Linked DNA regions of Drosophila melanogaster. The protein of the gene in region 1 interacts with the protein of each later gene in a pairwise test. Each region holds a gene or a part of one and is shown on either strand. Other genes may lie near its edges. The genes, in order: inv, tbrd-3, drm and Mob2.

Evidence for each region.
Region 2: the proteins of inv (region 1) and tbrd-3 interact in a two-hybrid assay, tested with the Drosophila melanogaster proteins (one large-scale study listed by BioGRID).
Region 3: the proteins of inv (region 1) and drm interact in a two-hybrid assay, tested with the Drosophila melanogaster proteins (one large-scale study listed by BioGRID).
Region 4: the proteins of inv (region 1) and Mob2 interact in a two-hybrid assay, tested with the Drosophila melanogaster proteins (one large-scale study listed by BioGRID).

The regions. Positions count from the first base shown.
Region 1 is NT_033778.4:11,472,834-11,480,782, forward strand, and holds the start of inv (invected), read left to right. Parts: upstream 1-2,874; 5' UTR 2,875-3,142; coding exon 3,143-4,436; intron 4,437-7,949. UniProt on the Drosophila melanogaster protein: Engrailed (en) and invected (inv) are functionally redundant transcription factors in neuronal precursor cell NB5-3 specification.
Region 2 is NT_033778.4:23,323,223-23,329,572, reverse strand, and holds tbrd-3 (testis-specifically expressed bromodomain containing protein-3), read left to right. Parts: upstream 1-1,991; 5' UTR 1,992-2,016; coding exon 2,017-2,823; 3' UTR 2,824-2,834; downstream 2,835-6,350. Other genes in the region: CG9861 (uncharacterized protein), read right to left, coding at 2,860-3,111, 3,170-4,312, 4,369-4,440, 4,513-4,596, 4,650-5,795; CG30416 (uncharacterized protein), read left to right, coding at 6,279-6,350.
Region 3 is NT_033779.5:3,536,675-3,544,623, forward strand, and holds the start of drm (drumstick), read left to right. Parts: upstream 1-3,058; 5' UTR 3,059-3,303; intron 3,304-7,949. UniProt on the Drosophila melanogaster protein: Putative transcription factor. May function redundantly with odd and sob in leg joint formation during the larval stages, acting downstream of Notch activation.
Region 4 is NT_037436.4:11,548,023-11,555,793, reverse strand, and holds the start of Mob2 (Mob2), read left to right. Parts: upstream 1-2,681; 5' UTR 2,682-2,964; intron 2,965-3,100; exon of another isoform or gene 3,101-3,255; intron 3,256-7,771. UniProt on the Drosophila melanogaster protein: Required for the normal morphogenesis of a variety of polarized outgrowths including epidermal hairs, bristles, arista laterals, and dendrites.

The DNA.
Region 1 (7,949 bases):
TTTTAACTTAAGTGCATCATATCAGCTGTTTTTTTTGCCAATTTCAATGAATATCATCAAAGTTAGCTGCGCCATCTATGAATCATTTTTGCATATCTAAAAGATGGCAAGAATGCCAACTCGTTTCAGTATCTGCGCATGTCCGTTTTTGTTTTTGCTTTGATCGTGATTTTTGTGTTTTTGTTTCTTATGACACAAAGTTATTAAAATGGGTAAAACAAAGCGTGTCGTTGGACTAACACTAAAGGAAAAGCTTCAAATAATCGAGTTAGTGACCAACAAAGTGGACAAAAAGGAAATTTGTGCCAAGTTCAAATGCGACAGATCCACAGTCAACCGCATTTTACAAAAAACAAATGAAATTCATGAAGCTGTGGCCGCGTCAGGTTTAAAAAGAAAGCGTCAAAGAAAAGGAGCGCACGACTTAGACAAACAATGCGTAGAAGTTGACATTGTATCGAATATTAATTGGAATGAATATGCCAATGTTGATGCAGATGAGGCTTGCCATGGTCAATTAGATGATGATGAAATCGTGCGCTCTTTAGTTCAAGATGCAAAAACCAGCGATAACGAAGAAAGCCATAGTGATGAAGATGTGGACGATACTGAGCGTCCTACTTTTAAGGATGGGTTTGCAGCAATTAAGGCTTTAAAGTCCATTTTTATGCGAAACAATAATGATGAGTTTTTGCAAAACTTGAATTCTATGGAAGACAAGCTGTTTAATTTACATATAAACTCAGCTGTATTGCAAAAAAAAAATTACTGACTATTTTTAAGTTAGTTTTAAAAAGTGTTTTAATCAATTCACCATCACTTAAATTTATATGTCGATCTTACTTATCATTAAGAATGAAATTATCAGTTCCTTTTATGTTTAACATTGTTATAAAGAAATAAATTCTTTATTTTTCCTTAAAAAAAAAAAATTAAGTTAGCTGCATTTTTAAGTTACCTGCATCGAGGCATTGTGCAAAGTACTCGAGGCAGCTAAGCGAATTATACTGTATTAGGTAATGTTCGGGTCTTTAGGCAAATAAATGGTAAGGGTTAAGTGACAGAAGCTCGACTGTATGAAACTATTTTCTTGTACTCCATTCCTTTTCCTAATCATACTGCGTATAATTGTTTCTTTTGTCGAGGGCTGGAAATTAAGCCTGATTAATTCGTTTGTCGGTGCTTATACTATCGCAGTGTCGGCATCTGGCATTGGCTTCTTTGTAATGGTGCAACAAAGTTATTAAACTGGCTTGGATTGCTTTGCATTTCGGGGCGTGGTTCCACCAATACGATTCGAAGCGATAATAAAGCGCGGACAGCCCGAAAAACTCCATGATTCGGGCTTTATGGGTTCAACAGCAGCGATAAAAAGATCGCTGGAATTCCGATATTTTATGTCCAATCTGTCGGCGATAACGGAGAAAAGGTGCAACTTTGATAGTCGATTTCAGATATGAAATATGATACATTAACCGATTTCGGCTGTGTCACTAAAGAGGTCCGCAGCAAATGATGCAAATGAATGCAGCCATTCCTAGAAATCTTTTCGTGGACTACAACAAAGTTTTCTGATTTAATTAAAAGAGTGATCGGCATGCCCTGCACAACCTCACTTCAAACAAGGCAAACTCGTTTTCACCCCACACATGACACACACAAAAATGTCTCAAATACTTGAAAGGAAAGCTAAATACAGATTTATGAGCACAAAGCACAGCAACAATGCAGTATGTTCGCCAATTAGACAAGCCCAAGCAAACGTATGTCAAATTTTCATTGGCGGGAGAAGGGGCTACTTAAATTGGTCAGGAATGGAGGATAATTTCCATAGTACATGAACGAAGTGACTTAAATTCTAAAAATAATGTCTTATGTAAGTAATCATGAATATCAAAGTTTGATTTTTTTATTGATATCAGATTGATTAGCTTGTGGGACCAAATTTAAATTACAATTATTTTGGCATTACTAAGAGGTCTTTAAATGCCGGACAAGGTGTTCAGTAGAAACCCAGCAAGCTGATCATTATCCCCCCAGTGCTTTTGAATCTACGCCCATGATTAAGCGTATGCAATTGCACACGTATTGGTATTCATTTACGCAGAACTATCATCAATGTTGTCCGATGGGATGTGTGAAGGCAAAACGACAACAAACAATAAAACGGCGACAAAAAAGCATCAAAAGCAATTATGAAATCACGGCAGATGTTGGGGCAACAAAAATTGTGGTGGTGATTTATAAAGCGCAGCTAACAACAACAATGACATCAAAAAGCGCAAAAATGTTCGTTGTATCGGAGCAACAAGAACAATAAGTAAAAGGAAGCGAAGGAGTGAAGGAGACGGGGAAGCTGTGGCATGTGTTGTATATAAACAGGCACACACTCCATATGTGTGTGTGGGTATATAATGCTGGACGGCGGATAGGATGCCAGCAAAAAAGGACTGCAGATGCCAGACCGCAAAGAGGAGCGAAAGAAAGGGGGAGTGAAGTGATGATGATGGAGGAGGAGGGCGAGAGCAGCCTACATAGAGTGAGATTTACGACTTAAATGCTGCAGCGCATAATCAAAACGACAAGGCGCAGATGGAAATGGAGTGGAGTTCTTATCCCTATTTTCCTTCTTTTTCGCTTTTTTCTTTTTGCGGCGACGACGCACTTAATTAACAAATATACAAACACTTAACATAACCTCAACTGACAGGCGGCTGACCGTGTGCGCGAGCGGGACAACAGTAGGGCACGCCCCGCAGCCGCTGATTGGATGTTCGAAAAGCCAGAGCAGGACGGAGAGTGAGAGAGAGCGTGTGCGAGAGAGAGTTCTCTTTTTGAATCGGCTCTCAGCTGCAGCCGTCTCGCTTTGCTATTCAGTTCGCGAGAGAATCAGTTGGTCGGCGGTTCGTAACAGCGCACGTTACGTTTTTAACGGACGAGCGGATTAACGTCGGTATCGACAAGTTTATCACCCAACCCAAAAACCAATTGTCAATCGAAGACGATAGCGCGGCGTATTTGCCAATCCAAGTGATATCTTTTGGCTGTGGTTAATGTTTTTAATGCTTTCTGGCTGCCCTGAAATGCCGTCGGCTTTTGGTCCCTGTGAACTTTCGAGCTGAAGACCTAAGCCCTCAAACTGATGTCCACCTTGGCCAGCACTCGACCGCCCCCGCTCAAGCTGACTATTCCTTCCTTAGAGGAGGCAGAGGACCACGCGCAGGAGAGGAGAGCGGGCGGAGGTGGCCAGGAAGTAGGTAAAATGCATCCGGATTGCTTGCCCTTGCCGCTTGTCCAGCCGGGCAACTCGCCCCAAGTGCGGGAGGAGGAGGAGGACGAGCAGACGGAGTGCGAGGAGCAGCTGAACATAGAGGATGAAGAGGTCGAGGAGGAGCACGATTTGGACCTGGAGGATCCGGCCAGCTGCTGCAGTGAGAATAGTGTCTTGAGTGTGGGCCAGGAACAATCGGAAGCAGCACAGGCTGCGCTATCCGCTCAAGCTCAGGCCAGGCAGAGGCTTTTGATCAGCCAAATCTATCGACCGTCGGCATTCAGCAGCACTGCTACCACTGTTTTGCCGCCCAGCGAAGGTCCGCCCTTCTCACCCGAAGATCTCCTGCAACTGCCTCCCTCCACTGGAACCTTCCAGGAGGAGTTCCTGCGAAAGTCCCAGCTGTACGCCGAGGAGCTGATGAAACAGCAGATGCATCTAATGGCCGCCGCCAGGGTGAACGCTCTCACGGCAGCGGCGGCGGGAAAACAGCTGCAAATGGCAATGGCGGCGGCGGCGGTTGCCACAGTGCCCAGCGGTCAGGATGCACTGGCTCAGCTGACGGCCACGGCATTGGGTCTGGGACCCGGTGGAGCGGTGCATCCCCATCAGCAATTGCTACTGCAAAGGGATCAGGTCCACCACCATCATCACATGCAGAATCACCTGAATAACAATGAAAATCTGCACGAAAGGGCGCTCAAATTCAGCATAGACAATATCCTGAAGGCGGACTTTGGTTCCAGATTGCCCAAGATTGGTGCTTTAAGTGGCAATATCGGTGGTGGCAGTGTAAGTGGGAGCAGTACTGGCAGCAGTAAAAATTCTGGAAATACCAATGGCAACAGATCTCCCCTAAAGGCGCCCAAGAAGTCGGGAAAGCCACTGAATCTGGCTCAAAGTAACGCCGCCGCCAACTCGAGCTTGAGCTTCTCCAGCTCGCTGGCGAATATATGCAGCAACAGCAACGATTCCAATAGCACCGCCACCAGCAGCAGCACGACGAACACCTCGGGGGCACCAGTGGATCTGGTCAAGTCGCCACCGCCAGCGGCAGGAGCGGGTGCCACAGGAGCATCCGGTAAATCGGGCGAGGATTCCGGCACTCCCATCGTTTGGCCAGCGTGGGTCTACTGCACCCGCTACAGCGATCGTCCCAGCTCAGGTGAGTCCAAGTCTCTTTAAAAATTTTGCTTCAGTTATCTAAGTTGTCTAGCGAAACATAAGTACAAATATTGATGAAATAATATTGTATATTTCTACGTTTAACGTACTTTTTATGAACTTTGTGAATGCAAATATAGTTTATGAAATTACGTTTTGGTGTTTTGAATACTAATCTTCATAAGCTTGAAAGAAAAGCCTTTGGTTTCAAGTTTTCTCGTTAACATACGATTCTCCAGCACCATGCCAGTATTATTATAGATATTCTGTAGTAGATCCTGGCAAAATTTATTTACTTGCATATGTTTCTATGGATATTTCCTGCATTTTCTAAAGCATCTTACATCTTATGCTAAAGCAGTGCACTGCTAGTCACTCACTCTTTCTCCAAACTCAAACACACTCGAGGAGACGAGCTGTTGAGTGGTGGCTCATAAAGCGGTTGTGCAAACAAGCGACAGACACCACAGAAGAGCCGGCGAACGGAGCCAAACCACAGCAACCCACAGCTCATTAGTTTGCCAACCACCGAAATGAAGTGAGTGCGAGCGAAAGGGAGGCGAACACTCACCCCGAAGTGAAGTGTCTGCTCGAGTGGTTTTCATGTCCTTATGGCTTATGTAACATAACTTAAGCTCATTATGCCGCTACACCCCACCCACCCCGTGTGTGTTTTTGTGTGTGCAGCACCACCCCAACCCGTCGAGAACAACCCCAAAACAATCTCCCAGCAATCATGGCACTCTCATGAATTTAGTTTATGCCACCGCAGGGAATTCGTAATCGTTTGCCTAATAATTTCATGGCTGAAATTTGGGGGGGAATCGGATGGGTGGGAGTGCCCCATATGCTCATTTATGGGGTGGCTTATTGCTGTTTGAACAAGCAATTCGGATTCCTTGATAGTTTTTGGCTAATCCCCTGGAATCTCGGGTAAGTCCATGGATCATGTGGTTCAAGTGGCGAATGGAGAGTGATTTAAGCCACTTGATGGCAGTCATTTGGTTAAGGTGTTTACCTTTATTAGCTTGCTCAGCTAGTTTATTATCGGTAATGAATTGCCAAAGGTTTACTCAATAGACTGAATGCATTTTATCACAGATACTTGATATTATAACACAATATTAAAACGTTTAAGACCTTACTAAACTTTGGTGTTCAACAGAGTAGTTGACAATAGCATTATTCAATTACAATATCAGCCTTAAATGGGCATATAATTACGAGAGTTACTTTATCTTTAACTAGTTAAATTTAATTGCTTTATTAAGTATCATTGAATGCAATTTGTAAGATTGCCGAGCTCAGCTGTTTAAGCACTTACGACAGTTTTTAGCCAATTATCCACACGTTTTATAGATCTTAATACACCAGCTTGAAGAAAGTAACGTTGAAATATCAGTAAATAATTGTAATTCATCCATCAAAAGTCGTCCCTTCTAACTACCTGATTCCCAATTACACAACTTAGAAGCTTGGCCCAAATAAACTCGGATCCGAATAATTCCTTGGCAATTTACTCATTACGCTGATGGATGTCAAACTCATATTTATTTAGAGAGTTTTGGGGGAGTCTCGTTACTGAATCCCCAAAAAAAAAAAAAAAACGAATACCGAGTGCATAAATCTACGCTTTTGGGTGGGTTTTGTCGCGCTCGCTAATTAACTCGAAACGATTTTGGTTGCTCCCCTCCACACAGGCCGTCTCTTTCGCTCTGCAGTCGCCCGTCTCACTCGCTCCGAGGTTTTAAGGTGTGTTTATTGTTGTGGTGGCTTTTTCATTTTCTCAGTTTCATTTTTAGGTTTTTTTCCAAGCGCTTTTTGTATAAATTTAGCGTGACTAAAACGAGATCTCGATCTCAGTGCGGTTCCATAATTTGAATGAATGTTGTAGGCGATGGCGTCGCTGGTCCTCCGATTCGGAATCATTTTCGGAGTGGCTATATGCGCTATATGGGCTATATGTACGGAGTTGGCTTGTGACTGCAGCTGCTATGGCAAACAATGATTTAGCGTGAGATTTGAGCCAGTCAGCTACAAAATCGGCGAATTAAAATGCCAGCTCGAATAAAAGTCATAAATTTGTTGCTTTTGAAAAATTACTGCTGCCGTTGTCGGGAAAAAATATTCAAAGTTTTTATAATCCACAACAAAGGTGTTAATTTGACAAATTAATGCAACATATTCCGTGTGCGCGTAGGCGATTAAAACAGTTGCCAAAAACGTACATTCGACAACAAATTAGTTAATTGCACTTAACGGCCATTTGTGGGCCACATGATATATGGCTAACATATGGGAAGCTGTCGGACTGCATATGTGCCGTCTATTTGTGCGCCATTTTCGATGCAGATTAATGGCATTGTATTAAAACCACAAAAAGCATTTGATAATCGATACAAGATTGCGTTCAATCTCAATAATTGCCAGGCCATATTTTATGATTTTTATTGGAGCATGAGCCTGAGTGGGAGTGGCTCTATTTACTGCTTTGATGTAGCAATTAATTATGTTAGATCTAAAGGATAAATAAATGTGTACTCAATCCACTGATAAAAAGATGTGGTATGTTTTTTGCTTCGACTTAAACATAAACCGCATTTGTAGAATAGGCCATAATTAACTTATACACAGTGGGCACTTTTTTGTGCCTCCCTTTGGCAAAAACGTAATAACTTATTGAGGAGTATCATTAAAACCTAGCTAAAAAATGGCAAACCCACTATATTTAATTACTGGATACATAGCCTTATTTCAGATAAAAAGTTTATTTCTGTATCTCCCTTAAAAGTGAGTTACAAAATAGTGGGAAAAAATGTGAATGATCAGTCATATGTTTGCCTATTCATTACACATTTGTGTACCCAGCTCCGCCCACAACTGTTTTTACTGACCCAGCTTTTACTTGACTCTTCGGTTCCCTTCTACAAAATAGACATTTCTGCATGGAATGACTTGGTTGGGACCAGATACTCACCTCTTCCTTCCAAGAACCCCCATCCTGACCTTTGCCTGCCGTTGGTAGGCAATTTTCGCATTTGTCCGGTACTTTGAGCTCATTTAACCAGTAGCCGAGACAGCGACAAGCGGGAAAATTAAGCGGGAAAGGGGCCAGCGGGAAAACGGGAGCGACAGCGATCGCCACTGAACCATTAAGTAATTTTCAATTTGCGCAGAAGACGCTTTCCGAGCAGCCAGAGAAACAGAAACAACAACAATGACAACATAAACAAACGAATTTCAATTACACCGTCCTGCAATTACCCCCCTCGTTTTCAGAAAAGCCTCCGATTTTCTCATCTCCGTGCTCTTGCCGTTGGAAAATTGCTGGAAAAGTTTCTTTGGCTGCGCTGCCTTTGCATGTTCTAAATGGGAAATTTACTTAGGAAATTGCTCTAAACAAAAGGTGGTGAAGGGGTTGGAAGGAGCAGGTCCAATTCGTTTTTTTTTATCAGCGAAATGGTATGAGTGTTTTTCTGACACTTTAGTAAGTGGCAGTACCTCTTTTATTTTT
Region 2 (6,350 bases), about 12 Mb from region 1:
CATGAAATAAAGATATTTAAACTAGAGTTCAAGTTCAATGGTTTCTTCAATAGCTGATCAAGTGATTCCCAACTTTGTTTTGTTAATTTGTAGCCAATACTCAGAAAACGGTAAATGAATGGACTCTTATTGCTGCATTAGCTAAATTGAATTCGGGCGGTGCATAAGTAAATGCTATTAAGATACAATCGCGTACATACCTATAGGTATATATTTACACACATATATATCATATGCATGGCAGTATAAATCAACTGCGGCACAGCCATTCCACCGAAATGCGAAATCCGACTGCTGACAAGTGTCACCGGGAGATGCTATGACAAAGTGTCAAAAGAATGTTTGACATCTGACTGGCTGTCGCCGTCTCTTTCGCTCGAATAGCCCCCTCTCCATCGCTGTGCCGTGCGAGGGCAGCGTGTGTAGCCTGTCCAAATGTACATTTCTCATATCTCCTCGGCGTCCTCGTCTGCTGGTTCTTCCCTTCTTTCCATTTCTGCAGGGCTTTCATATTGCCGCCCTTTTTTTTATATTTATCCATATATTGCCCGGTTCCAATGGGATGCGGGATGGCCAGGTAGGGATTCGTTCGCAGGTGCGAGGCAAGTGGGTTTGGGGGAAAGGGATGTGCTTGCCACTGACAGCCTCACACGTTTCCTTTGCGTCCCCCTGGCGATCCTTTTAGCACCTGGCCCAGTCTCTGGGTGTATAATTTCATCTGCCAACTGATTGAGTGTCGCAGTTTTACTTATGTGAAAAACGAACAAGATTTTTATCTGGAAATCGGCAATAGAGAGCGGAATGTTTGCCGTGAAATGCGAAGTAAAGTTCTGCCCCGCTGACATATCGACAAGATCAAAGGGAATCGTGTGCTAAGGGCTCTCAGCTACACATATGCATAAAAATATCACTCATATCAATTTATTCTAGGTCTAGATGCCTCCAAAGCGAATGATCTTGCGAAAAAGTGGATATATGACAGATATAGGGTATAACTTTATCTATATTGTTATTTGGTATTTTTGATTATATATATTTTAAATATACTTTGAAGATTAATCTCTTTTTCTTTCGGTTTCGCAAACTCTATGTGTAAAGTCTCCAAACTTGGGGTTGAAGGTCAACATCCGAACCAGATGATGCCCAGAGGTGAATCCCCATTCGCAAGTGGGTCAGTGGAGTGCAATCCCAATTGACCCATTCGCAGGACCATTCCCCCAAAGGCCCAACAGCAGACTGAAGAGGCGCCCCAAGATGTGGCCAAGACCTGGTCCGATTGCCACCCAATTTGCAACATTTTGTGGCAGGTAAGTTAACAGCGAGAAAATGAAGGTCTCCGTAAATCGGTTGCTCTCAGTTGTGGATCGCAAGCTAACAGAGGGAGAGAGCCACAGGAACAGGATTTCCCCTCATGCCTGTGGAAGCCAACTTAACAGAGTGACTTTAAACAGGATTTCGATTTAACTTTTGTAAACCCAACTTGTTGACTGCCCAAATGAAAGCCCTGCAAATATTTGCCCAAAAATGATGTATATTGTGTGTCCTAACAAAACTTTTATGCTAACGAAATATTTCGGCACTCTAAAATAGCAAACGTCAGCGGTTGACCATAAATATTTTCGCCCCCACAGCTCGATGGGGATTTTAAATACGTTTACCGAAAAAAGGACTGTTTGTACGGGTCTCGGAATTAGATTAACCATCATAGCTTCAGGATTGAGGCAGAGCATTCCCACAAAGGACCGCACTCCCACACAAAATGTATGGAAATACTTTCCTGGCCGGAGCCACTTGCATAATTAACTGAATTTGTTTGTTGCCCCAAACCGCATTTGTGGATTGACTTTTCTGCTCGGATTGAGGTGGCAATCCTAAAAGTTTTCATAAGCTAAAAATATCATCGTACAGGGCAACCCGGAGTGTGAATATTGTCAGTTGTATTGCGTTCAAGTTGTCAAAACGATAGAAATTATAATAGAATTTTCCGATAGTCGATATCGAAGATATTTTTCTGAAATGGCTGCAAAACAAGAAACTGAACGGTCCTCGCCGGAAATTAATGCCTGCAAGGTGATTATTAAAAGGTTGTTTTCCAGTACCTATAAGAATATTGCTTGGGTTTTCTACGAGCCACTGGATCCGCAACTGCTGGGCCTCCACGATTACCATGAGATTGTCCGGGAACCCATGGATCTGTCCACCGTGAGGCATCGTTTGAATACGGGTTGCTATCTCAGTGCCGCGGATTTCGCCAAAGACATAAGGCTGATTTTCTACAACACCTATCTGTACACGAATCCCGATCACCTGTGCTACCACATGGCCAAACAGCTGCAGATCATCTTTGAGGAGATGTACTCCCAGGTGCAGCTCTACATCTGCTCCAGCGGCAGTAAAGTGCGTGCCGAGGAAGAGAGCTCCTCGGATGAATCGGACTCATCATCGCCGGAGGACGAGGTGAACGGCTCGGAGGTGTCCCCCTCCATAATGGGTGCGCCCCCCTCATGTACTCCAACCACCGAATGTACTCCGACCCCCGATTGGACTCCGCCGGCAACTTTGGAAACTTCGGAGCAGCAGGAGCCCTTTACAACCGAGGAGGACCTTGATCTGCACGCCAAGATTCAGCAGCTGGACGGCGAGGTGCTGCTCCACGTCATCCATTTCATTCAACGCATGGAGGGCGCCGAGTACTGCAACAAGGAGCTGGAGTTCGACATCTGCAAACTGAAGGTGCACACCAAACGCGGCATCCGTGATTATTTGGCCAGCAAGGGGTTCACCGGCAAAAGAGTGGCCCGCACCAAGCCCAAATATAATTGAGTTTCAGATTGAAAAAGAGTTTTAATTTATTGTAATCTAGTCCTTTTTGCCCAAAAGCTTCTCCTGCTCCTTTCTCTTGTCGCGCATGGAGCGGTAGTTCCGGAAATCCCCATTCCACGTCTTGTTACGCATGATCTCCAGCGGATTGGAAGCTATGTAAGCGAAAAAGGTCTTCCGAGGAGGTCCTCCGGGCACCAGATAGTTGCCCATGGCGTACCAGGCGGAGCTCACGATGCTTAGGTAGCGGGCATTCAACTGATCGTGATATGTTTGCTTAGCCAGGGCAGCCTGAAAAATATAGTTTTAGTATAGTAAAATATATGTACATATATATATATATATATACCGTATTCTTAATCTGCTTATAGAAGTTAAAGTTCTCCTTGGATCTGGGCAGGCGATCAATGCCCATAAGATCGGGACTGGCGGGACTGCTCTGGAGGATGGTGACCAGCTCGAATATCCTGCTCGACTCGGCTATACTCTCCTCGAGCTCCTTCTGGCTGTAGGTTTTGCCGTACCTCCTCTTGACCCACTCCCGCAGCACTGGCAGCTTGTGGGCGTCTGGCAGACAGGCCAGCACATAGCGGGGCTCCTTCCTGAGTACTCGCATGCCATCCTTTAGCAACTTGTCCATCTGGGCGGCATCGTTCGGATCGAATGATTCCGTATCCTTATGGGTCAGTGCCTTGCGCGGCGTCATTCTGCCCATGCGCTCCATCTCGGCCCGCTTTATTAGGGTACGCTTCTGCCAAACCGCCTTGGCACATCTCACTACTGCATCCACGATCTCCGCCTTGTAGTTCACATGGCTGCGACCACTGTGGTTGCTCGAACGATCCAAGGTCTCTCGACTGTCGGAGATTCTAGTCTGATCCAGGTCACTAAAGATTTCCAACGGGGGCTGGCTGTCCTGCTTCGATTTCTTCTCCGGCTCGGTTTCGGGAAGGCCTTCAGACTTGGAATCCGGAGGCGCCTCGTCCTCAATCACCATCTCCGACAAAAGCTCCCTAAAGTAACACGGATCGGCTTCGTCCCCATCCGACTGATCCAGCGCCTTCACAAAAGACTTGGCCATAATATGACTGAGATCAAAGGGTTTCGGTTGGCCGGATTGGAAGACCCGATGGTATTTGAACTGGTACGGCTTGTTCGAACGGGGTCCCCGGAAGAACCTAGTTTTCACATGCCTGTTATTGGGCATGCGCATATCGCACTTGTGTGCATTCCCTTCGATCTTTCCCTTGGCCAGGATAAAAGATACGGCCGACTTTTTGGGAGCCGGAGGAAGCTCGCACTCCGAAGGACCAACTACTTGCGTACACACCTGTGTGTACTCGTTGAAGTCGATGTTGTGGATACGGAAGGGGCCGCTAACGAGTTTGCGAGGCGGTGGCTTCCAGGGCGATACCTTCGGCTTCTTCGGATTTTCTGGTTCCGGTTCCACTACTTTAGCCTTTTTCTCCTTTTTCCCCTTCTTGTCTTTTTTCTTCAATACAGAAAGATTGTAATGAAAGTTAATCTATTTGGTAATTTTCCACTCACCGGCTTTCCTCCACCACCCTTTAGCCTCTTTCCGCGGCCCTTTTCTGCAGGCGGTTGGGGTACTGTGGAATCCTTAATTTTGTTCAATAGAAAAATAAAAGTGGGTATGGAAAATGTAAATATATTTGGTAATTTCAAACATACCGTCTTCTCTGCACCTCCCTCCAGCCTTTTTCCGCGACAAGTATCGATTCCACTGGTACGGGCTACTGTGCCATCCTTTTTTTTCTTTAATTGGATATTAGGTATAGAATGTATGTATTTGATAATTCTCAACTTACCGGCTTTTCCGCACCACCCTCCAGCCTTTTTCCGCGGTAAGTATCGAATGCAGTAGTATGAGCCACGGTACAATCCTCGCCCACCAGAGCCCGACCAATCTGACCCTTGGTTTCCGGCCAGGGTTGCGATACCAGCATCTGCTGGCACAGCACGCAGTCAAAATTCTCGATGGTCAGCACCTTGGTCTGGTCGCAGTGCATCGCGTTTCGGTGGCGGGCCATTATTACGTCGATGTCGTGCTCCAACTGGGCCACGATTCTGGCCTTTCGAAGCTTGGCGTATGGCTCGTTCACATCGAGGAGTTCCAGGCAGCGATCCCTCGCCTTGACCGCCAGTTCATCCCTCAGGAGCTGGGCCTGCAACACCTGACCCTTGTGCACCAAGCACATGTTGGCTTCGGGCTCCCGACTTTGTTGGGTTTCCTCCGCATCCTGCTTCCCCTCAACTGCTGCCAATTTAAAGTAACGCTCCAGGGTCTCGGAGAGGGTTTTCTTGATCAGTCGCTGGCCGGGATTCAGTCGGTACAGCGCATACCAAGGCTCCTCTTCCTCAGTGCCATATTCGGGCGGTCCATTGGTGGGCCAAAAGTTGAATGACACGACAAACTCGGGAATCTTCGCTGTCAGACGGGAGGTCCTTTGAACCGGCTTCGGTTGCCTTAGAAAGTAGGGCGACTTCTTGGAGGGTTTCTTTTGTGGACGCTCCGTGGTCAGGGAAGCTAACGATTGAGTTTGAGGATCCGGTTTTTTGACCGGAGGCTGGGGCAGCACAATGTCCAGAGCACGAATGGTGGGCAACATGTCGATCTTGGCAATGGCATTCATTAGCAGCTGCTCATTAATGCTGTAAACGCCATCCGTTTGTTTCGTCTTGTAGTAGCCCTCCATCACAAAGAACAGGAAGGCCAGTATGTTGTTCCTGCTCAACTGCACGATCCGGCTGATCTTCTTTTTGGATATCACCGGCTGGAGGCCCAGGGATATCAGTGCCTTGAACATCTTTTCCCCTGTTCCCTGCTCGAAGTCATCCCGGAGGCTCTCGGACATTGTGGACATCGTGGCCTCCTGTTTCGCCGAGATTCCCATATACCACTTGGCCAGGTCCAAGTTCCTGGTGTACTCATCCAGCTTATTCTGGAAACTCATGGCTATTCACTATGTGGCGGAATTTTTTACTCTATAATTTTATTTTCTAGAAAATTGTTAATAAAAAAAAAAAAACAGGATCTTAGTCAGACATGTGGTCACAAAAAACTGGATTTCGTGTGGAGCTTTATAACTAATATTGATGTCAAAGGTAGATATGATTGAATAATTTGTTGAATTTATTTTTCGATTTTAAATGGAATAAAATCAAAGCGATTCTATATAACCTGTAATTGTTTTAATCCTATTAAATCCCCATTCTGCATTAAAATGTGGATGTAGCTATATCTTTTATCTGGTTTATGTTTATTTAAAGTGTTTTTCTGAAAACTAGCGAAGTATGCCTTGTAAACAAAGAACAACAACAACCATTTCGATGTTTTACTGAAAAAATTGTGTGTGCTGGGTGCCTAGAATCCTATTTGAACGTTGTTCGATGATTTCTTGTCCGGAATTGCTATTCAAATCCTGTGATTCAGGACGATGGACTACAGAGCGATGAATGAATCCTGCCAATGTCCACGGTGTCGGTATGAACTTCGTTTGCCCAATCAG
Region 3 (7,949 bases), on another chromosome or scaffold:
CAATGGACGCGATCTGAAACCGAAAACCGAACGACACGAGAATTAGCATACAAACTGAAGATCGAAGCTGCATATCAAATGAGGATCCGATCAAGTTTTGTTTGGGGCCACCACTTCATTCAGCTGCGGATTCATTGATAGATCGTTCGACGTTCGGTTTCCGCCCCCCGACTAACTGTTAAAATAGACACATCACCCAGCGACTTTACGAGCCAGCGGACCATAATTCAGATTTATGTGAAAACACACCAGTCTGGGCCAAAAAAATAAATCAAGTCACGACTTTGGTGGGGAGCGGATACACTCGAAGAAAATCGTTACAAAGTGCACTTCATTTCCTTTCGCCACGAGGAAAGCCTAGTTGCCCTTAAAAGAAAAAAGTTCTTGTCAAACTACACTTAGTTATTGTTCATATTAACATAAAATCTTGTAAGCTATATTGCCTTTCCCTCAGTGAGATGATACACCCAGTTTCTTAGCACTCGCACACCTTGGAAGAGAACCAGAGTCTTGGAGCTAAATGACAGCCCAGCCAACTACCGTGTGCCAAATGAAGAAATGAAGAGCTTAAGATGGAGGCAAGTCGGGGCCTCGTCATCACCGGAATCATCAGCACCAGCGACATCATCAGCATCATCAGCTTCATCGGCATCATCGTCGCCAACTGTTGACAACGCCTTGCTGCGGTGGCTGCGGTCCAGTTTCATTATTATTAACCAAAAAGTATAAAAACTGAATCCGAAAAAACCCCGACGGATCCCATTCAACGCCCACGTCTTCGACATTTGCCTGCTTCCACAGATTCATCCGTGTATCTTCGCGTATATATTTATTATAATTTTTTGCATCTGCCTTTTCTTAGCTGTAGTCTTTGTTGCCTCCTCCGAAATTTATGTGACCGCATCGCTGCCGTATGAATTTTTAATTTTTCACCAATCTTCATTTTTTTTACTGTTCGATTTTGTTTGCCTTTTTAATATTGGCAATTAATGAAATTTAATACTTTTGTGTGCACTGTCTGGCGCACAAGTTTTGGGTCGTTGGAATTTATGCTGGCCCTAACTTTATTTGTTGTTAGATTGAGAAAGTTGCGAGGTATTTGTCAAAAATTTAGGGGCTTTTTAAGTGACAGATTATTTGAAGATGATAGATGAGTAAAGGATGCGGAAAATCCAAAAAAAAATGACTACATATGGATGTGAAGGTCAAATTATTGTTTGTTTATGATAATAAATACAATAATCTTTGTGAACCAAACAACCTTTCAACATCGAGTGAAATATTGCATCACATTCCTCGCCTCTGAAAACAAAGTCTTCAAAATTGCCAAGTAAGCCAAGTCATTTTTCAGACTCTTCTTTGGAGGGTTCATAATTAGTTTCTCCTTCAAAAGGAAGCTCCTCACAATTGTCGATACGTCTCCTTTTCGAGTTTGCTGATTGGCCATTTAAAATATGCAAATTTGATCCGAAAAACAATAAGACAGATGGACACAGATGGAGTGAAACAAAAGCGAGGCGGACAGAGATGAAGCCATCAAAGTGGAGTTGCCAACGGATTGCACTTAAAAATGCCCAAAAGCAGTCGAAAATAATTTGTTAAGCTTTATGGACAGGCGAAAACTTAATTAAAAACAATCCTTTTCTGGCGCACCTAATTAAAAACACTGGGTGTTAAGTTAATGAAGTTTCTTGCTGAATGAACGACACAGTTTTTCAGATTTCATTGAGAAATCGTAAAAGATAAACAGATATGGTGAGGCACAAAAGATAAACAGACCATCAATATGGTGTTTTTGTAGTATTATTTTTTCGGGTCTAAAGAGGCCACACAAGCAGAAGAGCGACAACAAAGGCGGAGGCGGCAAAGCCAAAGGAAATGCGAGAAAAAAGTTTCTCAGGCCCTGAAAACAAAATGGAGCTCCACAAAAAAAGAAGATAAATACACTAAAAATTGAGCACTGCGTAATACGGTTGCTCTGCTCTGCCACTGGTTTTTATATTTGGCCTCTCGCTCGCTCGCAAAACGGGTTAAGAAGCAGTTAAAAAGGGGGTGAGCGAGCGAGACGGCGCGAAAGAGTGGGACAGACAGAGCGCCGCCCAAAGCCACGCCCACATCTATAAAAATATACACAGGTATAAGTGAAAGAAAGTTACCTTTTTAGCCAAACAGCAGCTAGAAAGACAGAGAAGAAGTCCGAGGAAATCCAAAGAAATCGCAAGCTTATTACAGCCCGCATTATCCAGCACACCTTTCACTCATTAGTCGCCTAAACTTAATTGAAATGTTGGCTTACTTAAGCTTAATTAACAGTCAACTCAGGTAACGCCTTCGAAACCACTCAACTCAGGTAGCCTTCTCTCGCTCGCTCACTCTCCAGTTTTCTCAGTTCGCTCTTTAGCTCATTTTCCTCCGACCAATCAGCTGAAACACTCAAAACTCGTTCTCCGCGACCCAAACAGTGCGTGGGAAAGGGACAGCCAACCGAGAGAGGGCTGTAAAAAAGAGGGTAACCAAAAAAAGGAAAACAGAAAAAGTTCAACCCATCAAGCTGAAGTTTTCGATCGTAACTTTGCAGTTGACTCTCGCGCACAGAAGCGTTCGGAAGTGAAATATATTTTATTAATAATATTACCCAACACAGTGCTACCAAACAGAAATTGCATACAATTTGTGTCTTGCCAAATAGCAAACGGAATTTCGTGCTTTCGCAATAGGTAAGTGACGCCATTTTGTGACTTTTACGCTTGGCTTCCGTTAGAAGAGACGCCATTTTGTGGCTTCCGTTTGCCAGCTTCTGTACTTACGCATAAGAACTTAGGGCGAGCGAAAGGGATGGCTAGCGAGCGCTGCGCATGAGCAGTAGCTTCGGCTACCGGTCTTCGTTTTGCTTCGTTTCTCTTCGGATGACTCACACACACTTACACACACTCACACAGTGCCACCGAATTGAGTAACAGACAGGGACAGAGCGATGATCTCGCTTCCTCAACTTGCCAGCAGCGACGCCGGCAGCGACGCCGACAGAGGACGGCGGCAGAGGCGACTACTATTTCTTTCAGTTATTAGTAGCATTCATTCATTCAACTTTGTGCCGCTCGAGCGTGCGTATATAGTTCCCTCTCATCAGTAACAGTATCAGTAACAACATCAGTAACATTTCCTTCGCGAGTACCTTCAAAAGAGATACAAATCGATCTATCCATTCAGCGGACATACGAAAATCGCACAAAACTCAGCTATAGAAATCGGTTAGCCTCTACTCGAGTCCGAAGAACGCGTAACTCCAGTGCATCCCATTGGGTAAGTCTTTCTTCAGCTCCTCTCTTCAATGGCGTTCTTCGTGTTCTTCTGTTCGTCGTTCTTCCCCCTTCCACACTTGTTTCGCTACCAGTTTTACGCCGCTTTCATTGGACAACTGAAAACTGAGCAAAGAAAAGAAGAAGTAAACCCCACACGTAACACGGGTGCGTGTATCGGCCTCTCTTTCTGCCCGGGCCTCTCACTTCGGCTCTTTAGTGTGCCAGAGGGAGAGGGGCGATGCGTCTAATATGGCATGCGTGTGGCCAACGGAGCTTTTCGGCCTCTGTGTGCGTGAGAAAGTGTCGCCATTTGCCAAAATGGCGGACGCCAAGTCCGAATATTTCCCTATTGGACTGTAAAAAGTTTTTACCCGCACTTCTTGACACGAATTCCCCAAAATGGGTGATCTACTTGAAATACAACCGAGTTTATTGATCTCTCATTGTATAGTACAAATGTGTTATTAATTTCCGAAATGAATGAAGAAGAAATAATTTGTATCTCATAAAAAAATGCTCATTAATTTTCGAAAAGAAAACTATTTAATATTATTTTCTATTAAAGTTGGTCTAAAAAAACATTTGAGCTCTCTTCAGAACAAATATAAGTTTTTATTGTATCCTAAACTTTCAACCTGTTCTATTTTTAAAGGTTTCAGTCGTTTTCCATTGAAATTGTCTAGGAATTGAAAACTCTTAAAGCCGTCGGCATTTTTTCAGATTGAAAGAATAGAAGCTGAGAAGTTTAATGAGTCAGCATTAAGAACAAAAAGCCTAGTTTGTCGAAGGTTGATCGCGGACGCACAAAACACGGCAAATCATCGCCAAGAATGTTTGGCATATCATCATCAGCCGTTTTGGTACAAGTTATTTGCCTATGAGTCATGGAGTTGTGCTTTTTTCATTGGATTATGAAATACCAATGAGTACGGCTCAAGCTAACAACAGATGTTCAAAAAGTTGCGTCAAAGTCAGGTACTTTGAAATACCTGAGATTTGGCACTTGTGCGAAAATTCCAATGAATCTGGTGCGAAATCGCAGAAATCAGAACCCATATTCTAGGGGAACTTTCTGGAAGTAGGACTAACATTTACAATATAGGGAAATTCGTTTAACATAGTTATACTGAAGTAAAGTTGTTGTAAGAGTTTCGTGACCTCTGAAATTCTTACTGCTTTCCCGCGACCATTTCTTTCCCGTCTGTCTGATCTTTGACCTCGTCTGGACCTCCCGCTGCGCTCCATCAATTAGAGTCTAATTAGCTAAGCGATTACGGTAAATGGGCTCAGCTGGCAGCTAATCTGCGCCGACTTTTGAGCAACTGTCATATCTTACGGGCTGAAGGTGAGAAGCGTCCGAAATCGACTTGCTTCGGCCACGAAATTCCCATCCGATTTGCGATGGATCTAGGGAAGATCGCTCATACCTTGCCGCATTGTATCTTTGTATCTTGTGGTGTGTTTGTGTTTGGGGTTACGAAGGTATTCCTTTGTTCGCACTGAAGTGGCAGTGCCACACATCCTAATTGTTTCCACCGACTTATTGGTTCTGTTGTCAGGCCAGGATCTCGTGTGTGTGGGTGTTTTTCCCGGGAATTCTGCGCCATTAGCACAATTAGATTCGTATCAAATGGACTTCGGTGCCTTTGTCTTCAGAGCCTTATGTCCTTTTATTGTCATTTTTTCTCGCTTCGGTTTCTTCTTTTCACTTTTCGGTTGTAATTTTTAATGGCACCTTGCCAACTCACTGTCCGCCTCCTACAAAAAATAAAGGGATGACCACGGTGCGAGGTGAAAGAAGTGTGGTAATCGCTTTCGACCATATCCCACGTCCTGCGACGTGTGTGTCACTGCTTTGAGCCCTTTTTTTGGACCCAGTTTTGAGCCTGTTATCGCCCATACCGCTACACATTTATCTCGGGGTGTTAAACTGTAACTCTCGAGGCGGCTCGAGTTTCGTGGAAGCCCCCGACGCACTTACTTCTCTTACCAGAGATCTGGCCATATATAATCTCACTCTCTGTTTGCAGTTTGCCATTTTATTTCTCTTTCCCATCGCTGCAAATCTAATTTCACGCAGCATTAACGCCTTTCGCATGCCCTTCACACGGAAACCCAAAGTCCAGAGTCAGGATCATGCTGTGCTGAAGATCTCCCAGAGATCTCCAGATTTTCAGATCTTCACATCTCAACCTTCCTGTCCGAAACTATGTGTGTGTGCACAACACTAATAATTTTCAGTGCGGATTAATGGGATTATCTTTGAGTTGGACAACAGTTTATTATACAATATTTGGGCAGTTTTCCCTCCGTCTCTGTGGGTGTTCGTTTTTCGCATAAGCGGATTGTAATGTCCAGTTGCAAAATACTAACAGTTGGAGACCGTTTAAAGTCCCGGATCGGAGAAGGTGCCAAGTTAAGCCCGTTTGGATTTGCCATGACTTTGCACAGGTTTTTAGATGGATTCGGATGATTGTTTTGCTTGGATTTTCAACGGATTAAAAGGATATACCAACTTGATCAAAAGATTAGGATTATAACTGTAGGAAGATGCTTTACCTTTCAGTTTTGCTGAGTTAATATAATGAGATTGACTTTACCAATATGGATAGACCATGTGCCATTGGACACCTTTATTATTGGAATGCCCCAGGCCAGCTAACTTAACCTTCCAAATTGATGGGCTCACTCAATTGTCAGCTCGAATTTCACTGTTCTCGAAGGTCTCCCCCGCCCATTTTGCCCCATCCCCAGACTGAAGACAATTCCATCGTCATTCGACGCATCCAGCAAATGGCCAAATAGAGTGCTTAACCCCGGAGAGCAACCCGTGGCTAATGGTGCTCCACTTAGGCCCACGCTCCCAGAGACAAACTTAATACAAGTCCACGTCCAAATGCGAGTCCGAGTCCAAATCCAAAGCAAAGCATGGCCAAATGCGAGACCGATCGAGGCGGAGAGACCCGGACCCAAAGAATCCATATCGAATGGATGGCCTTATGCAGGCGCCCTGTGTCGCATGATTAACGGCGTTAAAATGCCAATGTGACGCCACATTGTGTACACAAATTAACATTGGAGGAGTCTCTTTTGGCCAGGCCTTTGAGCCGATCTTAGCCGAGTCCCAGTCTCCCACCAGACATGACCAATGCGATCAGCGACCCAGGCCCGAACCCGTGCACCTCACCCACTGGGCGAAAGCGGGGTATCAAAGTGTTTGAAAGTTGCTTTCATTATTATTTACTTGCTTTCATTATTATCTTTAAAATAACATCTTAAAAATATAGATCATATGACCTTCCAGCATTGTTCCACGCGGTTACTTTTTACTTTTTAGTACGAGAAGACGTTTTTTTTCTGAGTGCAGGACTTGAGCGCGGCTCAGTGTTATAATTTGAATATGTTTAGTGGGCATTAATGTTATAATGACAATAACTACGTACCGTCTGCGGCCGGTGCAGCACCCGCTGTGACGTTTGCCTTTTGTTGTCAACGTTAGCTCCCCGACCGCCGATCACCAAAGCGAACCCGTTTCCACATCCATTCCCATTCCCATTCCGATGCCCAATCCCAATCCCATTCCGAATCCGAATCTCGATTCCCATTGCCAGTCCCGGTCGCAGTCGCAGTCCCAAAAGTGTTCCAGCTGCGAGCTGAAAGCACCATAACATATAAATAAATATCGAAATCGGGTCTTGCCGAGACGCTTGTCGCTACCAGTCAGCGCTGGCTTTTGTTTCGCGCAGAAAAATTCCCGAATACGCCGGGCGAAACAAAAAGGCCAGTAAATCTGGGAAATATATATCCCGAAAAGAAAAGGCCTGGGAGAGAAGTCAGAGATCCAGCGGCGCCGAAATGACAAAAATAAAATTACATAAAAAATAACAGTTGTTAACTACCGCGCGGGCGGGAGGGCAGCACGGAATACGCATCGATGGGCATAAATTTCGATCGGCTACGCAAGGCGCCAATTAAAAATAAACTTGTTACAGCGCCACCTTAATGAAGTGGCCAAAAACAGGAAGAATTTGGCAACTGTACTTGGCCATAACGCGGCGGGGGAATTGCCGAAGGCTGCAAGATGACTCACTTAATTTAGAAATGCAAACCGACCATGGGAACTTCGGTATTTATGGTCATAACTTCGTTAAAAATTGGTATGCGGCGTCTTTTTTTGTCTGCCAGGAATCCCTTTCCAAATGGTTTTATTAAGGTTTCAGCATTTAAGCTCACGGTATCCCTTCATATCTTGGTTATCAGAAATGTATCTTTGAGTTCGTTTCATAACTTTTTAGTAGGATGTAAAGAAAGTTGGTGTTCAAATATCATTTCTTCGGCCTTGTGAAATCTCTCAACTAACTGCCTGCCCCACTAATGGAATATCTGTGTTTGCGGAAGTAGGTACAGTGCTCTTCCGTCAATGAACTTCGCAAAGCTTTGAGAGAAAATGTATATATTAAGTGTATATACATTTGTACACCCAGAGACAACGGTGAACAATCGTTGGTGTCGTTGAAGACAAATCATTTTAAATCCCGCCGAAGGTTAGCAACTGTGAAAAACAGTTGTCTGGACGTTGGGGTGATTTGTAAATGTCAACACCGCGTCCGAGGTGCGGATTCGGTTGCCTTTAATGAGTCATGGGCG
Region 4 (7,771 bases), on another chromosome or scaffold:
CAATTAAGTAGGGAAGTTGGTTGGGGAGGGGTGGAGTAACAGCAAGTAATCATAAATCAAATATTAAGTTTGATAAGCAGCAACAACCAAGTTGTTTGCCAAGTTAATATTTATATGGAAAATTGAACGTATGGAAGACTAGTGTCTCGGTAAAACTTTGATATAAAATATTCTTTCTGATCAATAAAGAAATCATTAGCATGGCTACGATAAAAGCATCCAGCAATTATGGAAATCAGTGTAAAGAAAGTATATATTTGCCATACTATGCTAACAATAATCATAACCAACATTAAATTATCTACTTCCAGCGTAAATATAAATACAATTTTTGCTTTAAAAGAATATGTTCATTGTTCAATGTACCTAGTACAAATAAGAAAAGTTTACCCTTAGTGCATATGAACTTTTGCGGCACATTGTTTGAACTTTTATAAGCCAATGGAGCAACTCTTTATGTTTTTTTTTTTTGCTTTTTATTGGGAGCAAAAGTATATAACTGAAGGTATAAATGCAACATGGCATTTATATACAAATTGTATTTTAAGGCACTTAAACATGTTATCAAACTGATCGAAACTGTCATCTGACTTCTGAAAGAAGTCAACATGTAATGCCTTAAAATGTCCTATAAAATATTGTATTTAATTGTACCGAATCCTGGTGGTCTCTGTAAACTCTGTTTACTACCATTTTGCATTTTCCTACCTTCTTGCCGCAACATCCGCAATATCCGCAGATCGCGATCGTGTGCCGTTTTTGCTGTCCGACGGCAACAGTCGCTGCCATAAGTAATGGGCACAAAGCAATTCGAGTAATGGCAAATGGCAGCAGTTGAACCGCTAGAAAGCAGCCGAGCGTTACCACCTTTTGGAGCAAGTGAGATGGTTGCTGTGCTGTGTGGGTGGAAAGAGAGGGCCATAGAGTTGGCGGTACGGATCAGATGTTCCATTACACGCTTCGTGTGTGTGTGTGCGCAGCATAGTGTGGATGAAATTTTGATGTGGTGCAAATGAACTTGCCGCCGTTTCGGTTGCATTGCGGGCGGTCACAGGTGCGCGTTCTCTGCTGCCAAGATTCCTTTTCCTCTATCCGCTTCTCACCTTTTCGCCCCAGTCGTATTTGTTCTTGTTTTTCTTCAGCTCGTCAATGGACAGCTGTTTTGAGATACACTCGAAAAAAAGTGTATTAATGCAATTGTCTAGTAAATTTAAAAATATAAAATAAGTTTATGTGGGTTGGTACTGTTGTGTTTTTGTTAATCATTCTTTTTAGTTATTCGCTTAATGAATACCACACATGTCGGTCCAAATTTATCTAAGTGCATTGCGTGTTCCTGTTTTCAACTTTATTTACGCAGAATGACGATGCGTTTATATTATGTTTTCTTATTCGGGTCTAGATTCTGTGTAAGTTAGGCAGCAAATGCAGTTCCTGTGTTCTTCGGTTTTCGTCTACCGCTCCATTCTATTTGATTACTGATTTTATTTCTTCCTGGCCGAAAAAGAGCGTGATAATTACTCCCTGTGGAGAGATTTGATGGTCAGAGGAGTAGCTATTTCATGCGGGCTTGGGGTCACTTCATTGATAAGAACCACGTAGCTGGAGGTCCTTACCATCGAGAATAACAAATTGGAATATATCTTTAATTCTTTATTTTCTGTTTTCCTTTCAGGTGAGTGAAATATCTTGAGCATGAGCTTACCCAAATCCCAGGTAATTTGTTTAAGTCAATTAGAGCAGTCATTTTAACTGAGAAAAAAATTATAACATGCTTAGAGTATTAAACGTATTAAATAAATGTTTAGCGCTTTAACAAAACTCTATGATGTTTTAGTTGAACAGATTGTTATCAAGCCAATTAGTGTTCTTGGTAAAAGTACATAAGTGATGTGATGTTTGCGTCAATTGTACGAAATTGTGTTAGCCATTAAATTTGCCGAATTTATTTCGTTTACCTGTGATCATTAAAACCATGTGTTAATGAATCAACAATGGCAATATATTTATGAGAAATCCATTTAAATGTTTCATACGAACGGTACAATTATCCCTTTTCGTGGAAAATTAATTTCTAATTGTTATTTATAGAGTTTATCCTAGGTTTGTTCAATGCGTTAAAAAAGTAGTAGATTCTGCTACTATTCTACTGCCACTTTGCCGTGTTCTCTTGTTACCGAGCTGTGTGGCAACGCCAGCGCAGTCAGCTGCTGAGCATCAAAACATGAGCGCTCAGCTGATGCGAGAGAGCGTAGAAGAGAGAGGGCTAAAGCCAAAGCAGTCAAACAAGTGGTCGAAAACCGTATAGATGTGCGTGTCTCGCTTGAGTGGCGCATTTGTATGCAAAACACGTACACGGGCAGCTCTCTCCCGCTCAGCTGGTATTTGATACCTCTAGCTCTCTTCCTCGCGCTCGAGCGGAGAGCAAATGTTGCTGGTGTGCGAGACAGCAGCAACATCAGCAGCAACAATAACAACAACAGCAACCACTTCATCTTTACTGTGTGCTCTGCTTTCGTTGCCAGTTTTGTGTTTTTGCTTTTGCTGCCTTTTTTCTCTCCTTACTTGCGTGAGTGTTGATGTTGCCGCTGTGTGTTGCTGTTGTTGCCGCTGTGTATGTGTATGTGTTGCTGTTGCCAGCCGAACGAGCAGCAGTCAGTCAAAGACGGACGGCTTGGCTCAGTGTAGAAATTTCCTTTGGCACGCTTGGTCGCTCGAGCGGTTGCAGGTCGTCGTCAATAGTGGACTGTTGATGTCGCCGCGTCATTATTTGACATTGTTTTTCGAGGCGCCGCCGTCGGTTGCAACCACACATCATCGCGTCGCAGTTAAAAGCAAAACAGCAACTCCAGCAGCAAGCAGCGCAACATTTGCAACATCAATTGCCACCGTGAAATGCTATGCTAGATTGTGAAATAAAATCGCCTACCAATACAAACTAATATCCCGAAAAGGGGAACAAATGTAAGCCGAAAAGGAGTCTGTTCTCCAACAAAAAAAAAAAGAAAGAAAGAAAAGAAGTTCTTCTCTGTGTGTGTGCTAGTGTTTTCCCGTGCTGGTGTGAAACTGTGTCATTCGCTGCGAAAAACTGCATTCAAGTTTTTCCTCAGAGCCGCGACTGCTGGCGTGTTATTGTTGCTGTTGCAGCTAGCTGCCACGGTTTGTTGCTTCACTGATTACGCGCAATGCAGCAACAGCAGCAGCAGCAGAAGCAACAGCAACTAACTGCAGAGGAGCAATAGCAGCTGAGAGTTCAGTTGCGAAACCGGCGAAGCGCGACTGTTGCCAATGCAGCGCTTAGAATTGGCACACCAGCAACAACTGCAACGCTGCAGCAAAGCTGCTACTCCAGCGTCAGCAACAACAACGGTACATTGGGCATTCACAATGTTGCTTGGTGTGCCACTGCCACTGCCACTCCACCACTACTTGTTCCTCCACTGCCATATTGTTTTAACCACTTCCTTTGCCGCAGCGGCAGGAACTTCCTTCCTCACGAGCTTCCTGTCTGTTCGTCCGCTTGTCTGGTTGTCTGCCCTGCAACCCTCAACCCTCCCTTATTAACGCCCCCTCACACTCAACTGCATTGTCAGGTGTTTTCTCTGCCACACAGAAAGAAATGGGGGTATTGTTAGGGTTCATTTGACAGTTTTCACAAGAATTATTTAAAGATAGGTTTTTATGGAATATATCCTTATTCAAACTGCCTTTAAATACCTTCTAAAAATAAAAAGAGTGAAAATCTTAAAATAATGATATATCTTATTGGGCCTAGAGTATTTCCTCTTTTTTCCGTGCACATCCTGGTTGCGTTGTTTCTACTTTTTGTCAACCCCGTTGACGCGCCTACGTGTTCAATACGCTGAGAAAACAACAGTTACGAGTGGCTCAACCAGCAGCTTGTTATTTCTCACACCTTTCGTCCAGACCCCCCGCGCCTTCCTACCACTGCCCCTCGCCAACCCTTTGGGTCCTCAAATGCGCTAGGCCATCCATCGATTTTTTGAGGTCATGCTAAAAATTGCAAAGCCAACTGGAACTAGTTGCGGATTCCCATAGTTGAATTGCCATGGACAATTTGCGGAAGGCAGAGGAAATGAAATTGATTCAAGCCTTTGTGGTGCGATATTATCTAACCGAATTCGATTCGTTTTCTGTGTAGGCCCTTCTGTGTTGCGGATGTTAAGGATTTATGTAAGCTCAGGAACTAATTAGGAAGAAGCACTATGATATTTATCCAAACTAACAATTTTAGTTCGATATATAATGGTATAGAAAAGTATCTATGTACTATTTGCGATTGAACGTTTTGCCCCCGTTATGAAACACTTTTCTCACGGTATTTCCCCATTAAGCAATTCCAGCAAAATCGTATAGATACTAATTTAGTAACTCAGCAATCGCATTTAATCGAATTCATACATATGCATTTCGGTTCTATTGGGACTGTTTTCATTCGACGTGTATCTCAATCGATCGTTTAACCCATATGAAAAGGATAGTCACAGTTATAAACGCTGTCGGATGAATCTCTGGTAACTGGGTTAGTTAGCGACCCGAAAACTTCTCTGCGCCTTTCCGCCGAACCGTTATGCCATATGTATGTATGTATGATGCTCTGCCTGCCCGCCGGTCAGCTCTTCCAGACCAAACCAAACCAAAATGAAGCGAACAGAACAGAACAACCCAAACCAGCTCGAAGATATATATGGATGGGTTTTGTACGGCTTGGCATGGGGTTTGGTGGTGGGGGTACGGAGATACACCTATCTACTATGTATATCATGTCATCCATTGCATGTGCATCGCACATCTCACGTCACCGTACCGCTGCACAGCTTCTATCTCCCTTTCCATATCTGCTGTCGTCTTCCTGCTCGTCGTTTGCCAGTTGTGGAACTCGTTTTCATTTCTTTCGTTAGCAGACATAGACATAATTCTCCAGCTTTTCTAGCGAGCAAAGGGGGTGGGGGTTCATTTTCGGTTTCGGTTTCTATTTTTTTTTTCTCTCTTTCGACTTTGCCAATCGCTCATTTGACCTTTAACGGGTTGTGCTGCATATACATGAAAAGCACACTCAAATCGGCAACAATTAAGCTCATTCAAAACGCGAGCAATGGGCAATCTAAGAAAAAAAAAACACTCGCCGTCGCGTTGCTAGAATCACATCATAAATTTCGGTTTTGATGGGGCGCCAGTTGTTCTGTGTGCGGAGGTGTGAAAACGATACTAGAAGGGGGGCGCACAAAAGACAAAACTCGTTTGGGGGGAAAAGACAACAGAGTCAGCAAATTGGCTTCAATGCGAGTTGAAGGTTAAGTGCGACAGCGACGCGGAAATTGAACATTTTGGATATTGGAATCAGTAGCTGGTTTCGAGCTGAATAAACAAAACAATAGGCATTAACCCCTTTTCTGTCATCTTTCGATTTTTCGTACTTTTTTTTTAGCACGCACTTCAGACCATTTTATTGGCTTCCTAGTATTGTCTGCAAGCAATTAAAAGTTTTTGCTTTAAGCTGCACAAAGAGTTTCATGAGAAATTTGGGATATTAGTTTCGTAAAGTTAAAATTTAAAAGCACAAAAAATATAAAAAATACTAACAGAACGAATTAGTTTTACATTGAAGAAAGAGGATCTTCATATCAATAGAAAATCAAAGATCGAAATGTACAGGGTACCTCTTTTTGCTTATATAATATACCATTTTCAATGATTTCGTATCTACTCAGATATATTATGACAATACTAAGATGGCTAAGATGAATTGCTGCTGCAGTGCGTTTGCAAAATTCGCATTCAAACGAATCTTTAACTATGACAGGGCAAATTTCTGCCCGTTTGGCTTATGTATTTCTGTGTTTTGGGGACTGTTCGATAATTTTTTTTTTTTTGCTTTTATAAATAACCTTAAACGATTTTTCTGCGCCGCCAGGCCACACGAAAAGCGAAAAGTGTCAATGTCAGCTGTTGGTTGTGTTAGCCACGAAAACGCCAAACCGAAGCGAACCAAATCGAAAGCGAGCAAGCGATGTGAAATCGGAAAAATCGAAGACCCGTGCTAAATTTATTATTCAGCTGTCGGCATTGCCATCATAGGCATTTTCCCAACCCGTGTTTGGTTTTCCTCCTCTTTTCCTTTTTTTTTTTTTTTTTTTTTGCCTTTGCCCCGCTTTTCTAGTCCTTTTTTTTGTGCTGGCTGCCACTAAAAGCTTCCCAAAATAAACGCGAATACATGTGTTCATATTTTATACATAACGAGTATATATGTACATACATTCGCACAGTGCAGCGGCTAGTGAAAATTTGCAAAATGTTTCCGTCACACAAAAGGCACTTTATGCCTCCTTCGCTCACCTTTCCCCACTGCAAAACACGCGCCGCTAATTGCACGCGTGTGCAGCCATTTCTGCGAGATTATTTCGAGATACATTTATACACTTGCCACCAGGCCTCCCAAATAATTGCTAGCCGTCAGTTTTTTGGTCTGGCTAAAACTGTGCAGGCAAAAAAACTAAAAAACGAAACCAAACATATCGAGACAAAAGAAAATGTAATTTTTGGGGGCTAAATCGCCACCGAGCAGCTGAAATATCCGTGTTGCAATCGTGTTTTTTTCCATCACGCCCCCGCCCATTTTTTGTTTTTGTTTTTGAGGATTTGTAACAGCCTCGAAAACTCGAGATGATGTTGTATGTGAAGAAGACTCTGCTCCCACAACATTGTCAAAAAGCCATCGCCATCCTCCCCGCTAACCAACATATATCCATTGACCAAACCAGAGGCACCGTGGTCTTTGTGGCTATAAAAATCAATGAAAAATGAATATGTTTATTGTTCAACTTGACTTATTGCCTGCCCCAGCGCTGTTGTTCGTGCATCTTGTTAACACGCCTGACTACAACTTCTGCATTTTGAGCAGTGGCAATCAAATGTTTTACAGAGGAAGCTACCGTTGCATTTTCATAGCCTAGGTGATCAGCAATATTATGGACATTTTACCTATAGACAAAGACGTAGGCGTATTATGGATGATTTAAGGAAACATTTGAATACACTGTATCTGCATACATTATTTTTTAAACAAAATATTAGCTGAATGTTCTTAAAGTAACATTTTTTGTTAGTGTTTCAACTTAAGACAGACCTTAGGCTAGAAACATTATAAAGATTAGTTATCTACTCTGATTTAAGTATTTATTTCATTATTATACTTAAATCAAATTGAGAGCTTAACTGCTGATCAGGTTTTAATTTGGCATGATTTCATCTGCAACTTTTAGTTTCTTTGAGGCATAGAAACAATTTTCGAAGCCAGTTAAGACCCATTAGTAATTATACCCGCTGTTTGTAAAAGTCGGTAGGTTCCCAGTGCGATCCACCATCGTACACTTATCCATATAAAGAGCATCGAGTTGCGATGCAGCCCCCTTTTCTGTCTTTCAATTGACCGCCCACCGCCCGCAATGATGACCGCCGCTGAGATCGGCGGGCTATATAATTATGCGGTTGGGCCCCTTTGATCAAAACCCCCCGCCATTGTTGGTGCCCCTTTTGCGGGGGTATAAGGCGGCATCTTCAACCGTAGATGAAGATGGTGAGGAAGTGCGGTAACTGGATACTGGTGAAAATTGCGCTGGTTTTGGTTTTTTCCCCGATTTTTCCTCTTTCGCTGCCTGGCGGCAAACAATTTTCGGCTAGTTTTGCAATCGACTCCCACAGCCGGCCGTTTCCCGCATTTCCCTGGAAATGCCGCTGGATTTAACTATAA